Linked DNA regions of Canis lupus familiaris. The protein of the gene in region 1 binds, or shares a complex with, the protein of each later gene. Links are inferred from orthologs where the notes say so. Each region holds a gene or a part of one and is shown on either strand. Other genes may lie near its edges.

What was found. Proteins that work in one complex are often made in the same cells at the same time.
Region 2: CNOT11 (region 1) and CNOT6L share a complex: the UniProt entries of both Homo sapiens proteins name them as parts of the CCR4-NOT complex. The link is inferred for Canis lupus familiaris from reciprocal best matches to the Homo sapiens genes CNOT11 and CNOT6L.
Region 3: CNOT11 (region 1) and CNOT6 share a complex: the UniProt entries of both Homo sapiens proteins name them as parts of the CCR4-NOT complex. The link is inferred for Canis lupus familiaris from reciprocal best matches to the Homo sapiens genes CNOT11 and CNOT6.

What each region holds. Positions count from the first base shown.
Region 1 is NC_049231.1:42,707,145-42,709,918, forward strand, and holds the end of CNOT11 (CCR4-NOT transcription complex subunit 11), read right to left. Parts: intron 1,774-2,774; coding exon 1,677-1,773; intron 1,590-1,676; coding exon 1,392-1,589; 3' UTR 507-1,391; downstream 1-506. UniProt on the Homo sapiens protein: Component of the CCR4-NOT complex which is one of the major cellular mRNA deadenylases and is linked to various cellular processes including bulk mRNA degradation, miRNA-mediated repression, translational repression during translational initiation and general transcription regulation.
Region 2 is NC_049253.1:37,892,085-37,896,371, reverse strand, and holds the start of CNOT6L (CCR4-NOT transcription complex subunit 6-like), read right to left. Parts: upstream 2,801-4,287; 5' UTR 2,683-2,800; coding exon 2,678-2,682; intron 2,637-2,677; exon of another isoform or gene 2,618-2,636; intron 2,605-2,617; exon of another isoform or gene 2,577-2,604; intron 1,700-2,576; exon of another isoform or gene 1,678-1,699; intron 1-1,677. UniProt on the Homo sapiens protein: Has 3'-5' poly(A) exoribonuclease activity for synthetic poly(A) RNA substrate.
Region 3 is NC_049232.1:1,536,555-1,540,541, forward strand, and holds the start of CNOT6 (CCR4-NOT transcription complex subunit 6), read right to left. Parts: upstream 2,801-3,987; 5' UTR 2,595-2,800; exon of another isoform or gene 2,526-2,594; intron 1,894-2,525; exon of another isoform or gene 1,784-1,893; intron 958-1,783; exon of another isoform or gene 830-957; intron 1-829. UniProt on the Homo sapiens protein: Poly(A) nuclease with 3'-5' RNase activity.

The sequences.
Region 1 (2,774 bases):
TGCTGTTGGCCATGAATTTGAGGTTGTCAGAGAATCAGTAGGTCCCGGAGCTGAGTTTGGGTTGCTTCCAACAGTGGTCCCAACTCCGCCATTCCAAAAAAGTATCTGCATAATGAACGGTTTCTTTTCCCAAACCAAGTATGTAAAACAGTGATGTCTACTTTTAGGTATGGAGAGAAATCAAGGTTGTTGCTAGCATTTTGTATGTTTAAAGGCATTCCTCTGTTACACTGGCTTGGGTTATTTCCTTTAAGCAAGTTATTTACAAATCTCTTACTTTCATAAGAACTAAGAGTACTGCTGTTTTGCCAATATTGTAAGATTAGAACTTATTTATGTTCCTCTTAAAATCACTAGGCTTGGTTTCCCTTTAACTTTTGCTGAGGGCTAAACTGGAAGGTAACTCCTGTTGAATTGATTATTTCCCTAGAAAGAATATGCTTTGAAAGTAACCTCAGTAAACTAATTTTTCATTTTCTTCAAGTAAAAAAATACACATCAGATAATATAGTTCATAAAAAACTTTAATGTAAGGCACTGTTGTCCAAAGTTAAATGAGGGATAACAGCCCACACGATGCCATCTGCCCCATCACAGGCAGCAGGTACAGTTCCCACTCAGGAAGAGATTTGACATGACAGTTCCTCAGTGGTGATACTATCTCCCAAAGCATGGACTAATAGTTTTCCTTAAAACAAAAAAGTAACTATCTTAGACTGATAACTGAAGAACAAACATCTTAAGGGGAAAAAACCCCAGAAAACCATATCAACTATTGTAGTCTTAAAAGAAGGTTTCTAAGAGTTCCCATGTTTGTAAGAGGTCCAAGAAATGCATGTCTTTTGTTGTCTAATAAGTCCCCATGACAAGAAAGGATTGTTAGAAGCATGTCCTTGGTTCAGACTGTGCTTAATGAGAAATAGGGGACTATATGCATAAATGGGTTGAAGGACCAAACTTCTATTTGCCACTTGATTCCAAAACATTCAGCTGATTTCACCTCAAGGGCAGTATGACAAATTCTTAAGAATGTCTTCATTTACTTTCATTAAATACTTTAATATAAGAACCTTAAGAAAACTGGATTCTTGATTTATTGGTAGCCTATAACTTGTGTTTTAACATTGCTCTACAGTGCTAAAGACCTTATCTACTGTCTTGCAGGAATTTTTTGGATAACCTTTACTCCTAATCATCAGTAAGACACTTCCAAGTTCTTACCAAAAATCCATCTCCAGGAGTGAGTCATCCAGGAAAGGAAAATTTTGCTTTAAGTAGATAAAGTGGTGTTTATATGCATTAGGCCAAGCAATCCACTCAAGGTTCTAACAGTTTTTAAAAATTAAGTCACAATACAGCTGAACAAGGAACGTGGTGGTTCTGATGAGGTATTATTTTGACATTTTGGTCTCAGAAGGTGTTTCTCCAGTATCCAATGTCTTCAACAACCGGAAAAGGCCAGCAGCTTCTCGTATCCTACTGAATTCAATACAGAATGCCTGCACTTCTATAAACAAGTCCTGCACATTAATAATTTTGTTTCGGATCAAGGACTGGAGAAAGACACACACAAGACGAACCAAACGATTCTGAAAAAAAGAAAGCCAGTTTTAGTGTATCCATTTTCTTGGCAGGTATTTATAAAATTTACAATTACAAAAATTTCTGTTACTTACCTGCATGTATTTGTCCTTAATTTGTTCACAAGTAGAGATGCAATTTGATATATAAAGATGAATAAATTCAGGAGGTAGATCAACAGCAGTAGTTAGTCTGTTTCATAAAGTTAAAAAGTTAGGGCTGTTAAACACTGTTAATTATATTTTATGGTTACTTATTTCTAACTTAGGATCAGTTACCTAGTTGTAAACATATTTATGTAAATGAGCCTGAGCCATTCTGCTTGTTAATAAAGGGGATTTCCATTTTTAAGTCTATACTTAGCATTACACATGGTAATTACTCATTTTTTTAAAAACATTTCTGTGTGTCCTCGGTTGAATCATAATTCAGTTAATGGTCTTCAAGCTCTCATAAGTAACATTTACTAAACCCCGATTATGCCTAAGTGCTATACGCAAGATGGTATATCTGAGAAGGAGGTATAGTTTAGTAAGTAAATAGTACACTATATATAGCTAAATGGTAAAATGAGGGGTTTACAAGAAGCAGTATAAATGAAAATATGGGAAAAGCCTTGAACTGGAACCTAGAAGTGTTCCTTATAACCTAGTGGATGCTAGGAGGAAAAATCTTGGAATCTGGGATTAGTATGGTACATTTAGGAACCTGGTGATAGAGACCCAGACAGAAGGCATGGTGGCATATTAGAATCTTGTAAAGGAAAGCTGGTATTCTCCAAAGGATTCTGTGGGATAGGAATTCCATGTTCAGATAAAGGGATACTATGCTACCTATATAGTATGAATTTCCAAAAGAAATGTGACTGTAGAACCTTTTTCCATAAGGCACTGAGGAACTAGTGCTCCAAGGAATAGTGGTGTGGTCACTTGAGATGGGGGGTGGGGAGCATAAGCAGACTTTGTCCTTTAAATTATTCTCTAGAAACAATAATATTGATAAAAAAGATGTGGTTATTCTTGGACTAAATCTGGTGAAGACAATAATGCTGTTAAGAATGTAGTGAAGGGGGAAGAAGCAAGCACTCAGAGGTAGCTCAATCCAAGGACTGAACCGGAATGAAGACCCTGAAGGAAGTGGGTGGGAGTCTTCACCGAAGGGGAAAGGCTTGAGCAGAGAATGCATAAGTGAAG
Region 2 (4,287 bases), on another chromosome or scaffold:
GTCTTTTTTTTTTAAGCTTACCATTGCTGATATAAATAAAAATAAGGCCTAATTTGGAAACCTGGCTTTAGTAAATGGACATACTACAAACTTAACCCAATGAAACTCCTCACATTCTCTTCATCCTGCCTTCACCAAAATAATTTTTAAAAAGATAGAAAAGAAAAAAAAATCCTTCTTTAACCTTTCCATTGCCTTTACCTTAAACTCTGTATCATCATTTTTTTTTCTCCACCACAATTAAAAATAAATGAACAGCACATTCACTACTCCACAGAGAGTAATAAAAATGGAAAACTATTCAAAGTTGATTGAGGATTTTTCCCTAAACCATCCAAGAATGTATTCCAAGAAGTTTTTGTTTACCAAATCAGTCAACATGAACTCAAAGAATTACATAGCAATTTTTTGGCACTTATGCTTTATGAATCTGTTAAAGTAATCTAAACTCTCGTTTCTTGATCCATTTTAATGCTTGATTGTATTGGAATGTATATGTGCTATATACAGTACAATTTTTTCCAGGACTACATAGCCAGAATCATAAAAGTAGTAAAACTGAGAGATGGCCTATTCAAAAATACAGAGGAAAAAAAGTATGACTAGACAGTCTCTATAAACTAATATACTAGGCCACTTTAATGACAGTCTTATTTCTAGGAAAGACATAAAAAACATTAAAAGTTTATATATACCTTATATATTATCAAAGGACTCTGAAATGTTCTACTGCCTTGATTTTTAACCTACAATTACACAATATTGCTCTCAGTTATCAAATGGGTATTTGTCCTTACACATGTTTTTCAATGCCCACAATCAGGGCTGCGGGAGGAATATTTAACTAAGCCTCTACTATGTGCCAAACATGTTTTTTCATTCCACCCTCAGGACAACCTTACTATAAAGGTATCTCCTCGTTACAAATGGAAAAAAAAAAAAAAAAAAAAAACAGAGACTTACAGACATTCGGTAACTTGCTAAGGTCAAACAGCTAAGAAAAATGGCACAGCCAGAGTTCTGAGGTAAAACAAGTCCTTTTTCCACTCAACTACACATGTTGTTTTTCCAGCAGTGGTCCCAGAAAACAGCTCTCCACTCCTATTCTTCCCTCCACTCTTGTTCCCAGTGCACGGCCTGGAACATTTGTGAGACCAGTTTTAGAAACAGGGCTACCCGGCCATCATACAGAGCATGGTCTGCAAGGATCAAATCTGTATCAGGACTTCATCCACAGGGTCTCAGCTAGATGAGCTTACGAAATGCAAACGGAAGGAGGGCGGAGTAAAGCAAATAAATCATTCAAATACCATTTATATTTGGGTCTACAACGCACTGCACACCTATTGGCAGATTTATCTTCATAGTTCCGCTTTGCTTAGACCACTCTCAAAAATAGCTTCCCCGGAGCACACACACACCCTGGGTAGACAACATAAAGGCTCCTTGACCTAGGTTTTGGAGATTGTGCATGAGACGTGTTTGTTTGTACGTGACTATCCTGATCGGCAATATAGATAAGTAGAAGCAGTAAGGCAGTAAAATGTAATACTGTGCTTCCAACGTGTACAAACGGCTCAGCTAAACTCCCTGAACACAATCCATCTCAACAGCCTAAGATAACTAGGCCGAGTTAGGGACGATGACAGCTACAGTAACTTCCTCTTCCTCACCAACCTCCTCAGTTCCGCGTGTGCACGCCTTTCCCCTAGGAGGCAGGATAAAACGATTTCAAACGCACAAAATCGATCCAATGCCACCAACACCGCAGGACAGGAAAGCCAGCTTCCATTTCTTCCCTCGCGTCTCGGGGGGGGAAAAAAAAAAAAATTTATCTTAAAAATCGCACTCATGTCCCCCACGAGAAAATATGTGCGACGAAAACTGAAAACGTGTACACAGTCCGTCCACCGGGCCTTCGCGGAGGGACGGGGCGAAGGGATCTCCATCCGCAGCCAGTGTTCCCGAGATTCACCGCTCTGAGTCTCTTTCCCTCGGGTCCCGCCGCCCGGAGGGGCAGAGCCTGCAGCTCCAGAGCCAAAATAAGCCTTCGCCTCTCTCCTCAGCAGACGCGGAGGCGGCCGAGGCGACGGCGGTGCGCGCGTCCCGCCTCCGACCCTCCTCACCTGCCCAGGCCCGAGGCAGCGCCCCGGGTGCTCGCGGGCCGGGGCGTCCGGGAGGCGTCCGGGAGGCGTCCGGGAGGCGTCCGGGAGGCGGGCGGGCGGGCGCCGAGGCGGTTAGGCCGCGCTGCAGGCCGGCGCGCTTCCTGCCGGGCCCGGGAGCAGCGGCGCGGCCCCGACCCGCAGCTCAGCCGGCCTGGGCTGCCGCGCGCGGGCGGCGCACACACTCGCGTCCCCGGTCCGGCCCGGCCCGGTCGGGGCCCGCCGCGGCCGAGCAGCTTCACCCGCGCGGCGCCCACAGAGGGGGGAGGGGAACGGGGGGGCGGGGGAGGGGCGCCCCTCGGGGGTCCCGGACACACGGAACCCGCCCCGCACCCCGGGGCCGCCAGCGCCGGCCCCACACACGCCCACTGGCCCCGGGTCCCCGGGCCGCCTCCCCGCCCGCCACAGCCTCACCTCGCACAGCCTCACGCACGCTCGTCGCTCTCCCACCTCACCTCCCGGGGACGCTTCCGTGTCCCCCACATCGACCCTCCTCCGAGGCGCAGACACTCTACCTCATTCTCTTCCTCCGGCCCAGGCGGAGCAACAGCAGCCATTTCCCCGCGGCAGGGGAGACACGGCGGCGCGCGCGCCCGGCCCCACAGATGCTTCCCTCCGGGCCGCGGCCGCAGACGCAAACACAAACACCCACGGGCGGGCCTCGCTCCCGCCCGCCCCGCCGCGCCGCGCCGCGCAGCGCCGCCGCCGCCACCGGCAGGGCCCGCGCCCCCCCTCACCTGCATTCAGCGCGCCGGGGTCCGGGCGGCGGCGGCGGCGGCGGCGGCGGGGCGGCTGCTGCTGGTGCTGGGGCTGCGGCGGCGGGGGAGGCGGCGGCGGCGGTGGCGGCGGGGCTGAGGGCAGCAAAGACATGCAGGCAGCCCGCCGGGGGGAGAGGCACCGGCCGGAGGGGACGCGGGGCGGGCGGGCCGGGCCGGGCCGCCTGAGGGACGGCAGGGGCGGCGGCGGAGAGGGCGGCCGACGGGAGCGGGCAGGCGGGCGGGGGGCGGGGGGCGGGACGGTGACCCCGGGCGCCCAGGAGAGGCCCCGCGGCCGCGGCCCCCGACGCGACGGCCCAGCGCCGCAGCGAGCTCCCTCCCACGCCGCGGCTGCTACTCCGAGGGCGGCGCGGAGCCCGGCCTTGGCCTTGGCCTCCGGGCGCCGGGGCTGCTGCCGCCGCGGGGCTTGCTGCTGCGCCTGCCGCTGCCGGGCCCGAGGCTGCCGCCGCCGCCGCTCGGGGACGCCAGGCTCCGGTGCCTTCGGTGCCTTCGCTCCCGCTCCCACGTTCACAACCCCGAGGGCCGGGGAGAGGCGTCCGCGCGAGGTCGGAATTGGGATTAATAACAAGGTGCGGAGAGTGCGAGGAGGAGGAGGAGGAGGAGGAGGAGGAGGAGGAGGAGGAGGAGGGTTGATTGACGTGGAGGGGCTGGCGGCGCTCAGACACTCCCCTGCGCGAGCGCGAGCGGGAGCGCGAGCGGGAGGGGGAGGGGAGAGGAGGGAGGGAGGGAGGGAGGGGAGGGGAGGGGCGGGGCGGGGAGGGGGCGGAGCTCCAGCGCCGCGCCTCGGCCCCGCCCCCCGGTCCCCGGTCCCCGGTCCCGCCGCGGGCCGTGGCGCGCCTGCGCGCGTGGCTGCCAGGGCGCTCACCCGTCTTCTCCTTTGCCCTTATCGCTTTTTTACTCTCTTTTCTTGGCTCGAGCGGCCGGCGGAGCTGGGGGGACTGGCGGGGCGTCACACGTCCACGTCCACAGAGCCATGCTGCGGAGGAGGCCGGCGAACCCTCCTCACCCGGTGTTCCTGCCGGACGCGGCGCCGTTTGCCGCTCGCAGGCCTGAGGCGGCCTGAGCGGGAAGCGCTGCTCGGGAGCTAACGAGACGTCAGGTGAGGGGAGGTGAGGTGAGGGGAGGGGAGGTGAGGTGAGGTGAAGTGACGGAAGGAGAAGGTTTCCTGACATCTCCGATGGGGCGTTTTTGTTGGTTGGTTGGTTGGTTGGTTGGTTGGTTGGTTGGTTCAACGCAAAACACCTGGAAGTTGTGTCGCGAAAGGTAAACTGAGGAACCTCTGACGCTCCGCCATCATCCCCGTCCTACTCATCGCCTGATTCTCCCTTCTCGCGGTACAACTACGTGTG
Region 3 (3,987 bases), on another chromosome or scaffold:
TAATCACACTTTGTTGTAAAATGGCTACCTTGGTAAAGTGAGTAGCAGCCAAGTTTAAGGAAACAAGTACATCAAGATGGAAGCTAAGGATTAACACTGAAATTGGAACATTTTTCTAGACAATAACGTTAAGTTCCATTCACAACAATAAAGCGTATACAAGCACTGCATACCTACAAATCCAAGCCTTTTCTGCATTAAAATACATGTCCTTAGCTGAACCTATTTGGACCTTTCCAAAGCGATAAACACTTTAAAAGCAGAGCTTCTCAGGGGCTCATGAGTAGCTCAGTGGTTGATCCTGGGATGGAGTCCACAGGGAGTCTGCTTCTCCCTCTGTCTATGTCTCTGACTCTATGTGTTTCTCAAGAATAAATAAATAAAATCTTAAAAAAAGAAAAAAAGGAAGGGCTTCCCAACCAGTCTACTCTGCATATGGGGAAGTTGCCAGTGTGCAAATATTGGTCTCTTGCCCTTATGACCCAAGGTCTACAGCTGTGAGCACCACTGACCATTTATTCCAGTATGCCTTACATACATTATGCCTTTCATTGCACTAGGATATGAAAAACGCTTATGCTTCAAACAACGTAAGAAGGTTAACATGTACCTAGTGGAATGCCTAAGCACTGACCGAAATGTGAATTTATCACTACAAGTACAGTGGGCAAATTCCTTTAATGCCTTTATCTGCAGCAAGGACCAAGTTCTATAATCAACTTAACAGTCTGAAATTTAAAAAAAAAAAAAAAAAAAAAACAGTCTGAAATTTCACAAAAATTGTAGGTTCAATTTGCCACCAAGATTTAAGAAACCTGAAAACACCTACAAACCAAGTATGTATTCAAAGGGCTTCTTCAGGGATCCCTGGGGGGTGCAGCGGTTTAGCGCCTGCCTTTGGCCCAGGGCGCGATCCTGGAGACCCGGGATCGAATCCCACGTCGGGCTCCCGGTGCATGGAGCCTGCCTGCTTCTCCCTCTGCCTGTGTCTCTGCCTCTCTCTCTCTCTCTGATGTGACTATCATAAATAAATAAAAAAAAAAAATTAAAAAAAAAAAAACAAAGGGCTTCTTCATCAACATTACCACTGAGACACTTCTGAAACTATGCACGTATCAACTCTCAGAGCAAATCTTCTCAGTCTCACAAGAAAACTTGTCTTCTATTCCATTCTTGTTTTGACTACTTTAGTATCTTGTTTAACTGCAAACTGAAGAGACACAACTACCACAAATAATTTCTACCCATTAAAACACCTTCTGCCCTCCCAAAAGAACTAATCTCCAGCAAATACCACATAGACTCATGTGCTTTCCCTCTTCACTGCAAGCACGTTGGCCACGTCACTTGAACCTTTCTAGGTCTGTTTCCACAGTCATAGCTTTTCAAATATTTTGTTTAAAGCATGTTGACTAGACTAGATCACTGGTCAAAAAAATATGAAGCAATTTTAACTCTAACAGACATCACATTCTGAAGACTGTGACAACTGTTCTGACAGCAATTACAAAGAAAATCTTCAAAACCTTTTGATCTATGACCACATCAGCCCGGAAAGCCTGCAGAACTGTTCTGGAATGGCAAACCCTAGCGTCCGGTGAAAAACAATCAGTGCCATTACCCGCCGTTTTATTTTTCACTAGTTCATACTCCCTCTCTTCCTCCCTAAAATGAAATTTCCAGACACAAGAATGTAAGAAATTCCATACTAGCACTAATGAGACAACGCACCTAGAAAACAGTAAGTATGGGAACTCAAAGTCAAGCAGATTATTTAAATTACCTCAGCTCAACACAGTACACGCAAGATGGGTCAAGCAAGGGTACCTGCACAATGCTGTCATCTGCGGGAACAGTTAAAGAAAAGATCACAGGTGTTCCTTAGCAGGCTCTCTGGGGGGAAAGGGAGGGAGAAAAGTGTCAAAGAGAAAAAGTTTCCAAAGAAAATAACGACTGGTGTTTAGAAATAAAAAGGGAGACATGCGGTTGGGGTTACGGGAGGAAACTGCTTCCAGTAAGTTCTGAGCGATACCAGGAATCTCTCCGTCGGGGGCTAAGTAAGGGCCTCTGAATCAGGTCCCCGTCACTCCCGCCCACTTCCCCCCAGTCTGCGTTCAGATGAATTCGAAAGACTTTCGGGGTAGGGGGTCAACCGCTGGTTTACCGCGTTGCGGTAACCGCGAAGCTCCACACTCCACGACGCACAATCCCACACGGCCACTCCGCCAGAGTTGCCACCCATCCCGGCCGAGAGGCGCGGACACCCGGCTCGCCGCCCGCGCCCCGCCCCCGCCCCCGCCCCCGGCGCGCCCCGCCCCCGCCCGCGCCCCGCCCGCGCCCCGCCCCGCCCCGCCGTCAATCAGCACCCCCCGCCCCCCGGGCTGGGCGCGGGGGCGCGGCCTGGGAGCCGGCCGGATCAGCACGGCCGCACTTCGGAGGCCCCCGACAGCCGCCGCTTCGGCCGAGCCGCGGGCTCGCCAGCCTCACAACTCAAACCGCCCGCGCCGTGGCCCCGCGCGCCGCGACCGAGCGGGCCCCGCGCGCAGCCAGTGCGGGGAGCGCGCCCGGCCGGGCCTCGGGCCCGCCGTGCTCACCTCTCGGGGTGCGCCGCCTTCCTCCGCCGCTGCCGCCGCCTCCTCCCTGTGAGTGCAGCGGGGTCTGACCTGTGGAACCACCATACCAGTCCCGCCCGCTGCTGCAGCGCCGCCGCCGCTCCGCCGCCGCCTCAGCCGCCGCTCTTTGTTCCCCCTTCGAGCGCCACCGCGTCAGCCGCCCCGACGGGCCACCGCTACGCCCTCCCGCCCTCTCGGCCTCCCGCCTCGCCCTCCGCGCTGCGCCCGCTGCCGCCCTCGCCTCCGCGCCGCCGACGCCGCCTCCACCGCCGCCGCCGCCGCCTCCTTCGCGCCCCCCTCGTTTTCATTGAAAGCAAACAAGCATCATGGCGGCGGCCCCGTCCCCCAGCCAGCGAGCACCCCGACCGCCGCCGCCGCTCCAACATCCCGGCCGCCCATTGGCCGCCGCTGCCGGGCGCGACCATTCGCCGTGCGGCGGGGGGGTCGCTCCCCAAGCCCCGCCCCCCGGCGCCCCTCCGCGCTGCGCGGCGATGGGCCGGCCCGGCACTCTCCGGGGCCCCGCTCCCGCCCGCTCCCGCCCGCTCCCGCCCGCTCCCGCCCCGCGCGGTGTTCTGTCCCGCTGGGTCCCTGCTCTCTCCCGCCACTGCCCTCCGTTTTGCCGTCCGTCCTCTCTTTCTGGTCTGGTCTCGGGCTGTCCACTTTTGTGTGCTGTCTTCCCACCGTTTCCTCGCCTCCTTCCCCTCGTTCCGCTGTCCGTTGGTGGGAATGCGGGGCGGCCCGCGACCTGACTTCAGCCGCCGCCGTGGCCTGCCCGAGGAGGCCTCCGGTCCTGAGCAGCCGCCTGCTGCTTGCCTCGAACGGGCAGGAAAAAATGAACTCGTGCCCCGTTTCGGCCCATTCAGGGCCGCGCAGTACAGTAAGTAGGCTGTGGTGGAGGGGTCCCAGCCAGAGCCCCAGCCCGAGGTCTGCCTTCGGAAACCGAGCTGTCGGGCAGCCCGGGGGGCGCAGCGGGTTAGCGCCGCCTGCAGCCCGGGCCGTGATGCTGGAGCCCCGGGATCGAGTCCACGTCGGGCTCCCTGCGTGGAGCCTGCTTCTCCCGCTGCCCCTGTCCCTTGCCCCTCTCTCTCTCTGTCTCTGTCTCTGTCTCATGAATAAATAAATAAAATATTTTTAAAAAGAAATCAAGCTGTTGTCCTTAGGTGGCGAGGAAGGCGAGCAGAGATCACTGGGCATGGTGCTTGCTTCGGGGCACGTTCCTGACAGGTGGCTGAGACCCCGTGCTGGAGCCAGACTGTACAGAGGAATCCGGCCCCACCCTGGCCCTAGTAAGTTCCCCGTCTAGGCCGAGAGAGACGTCCAACAAACGTTCTTTAGAGGGGCATGCATGGGGAAAGGATGGCCGTCCGTCCACCTA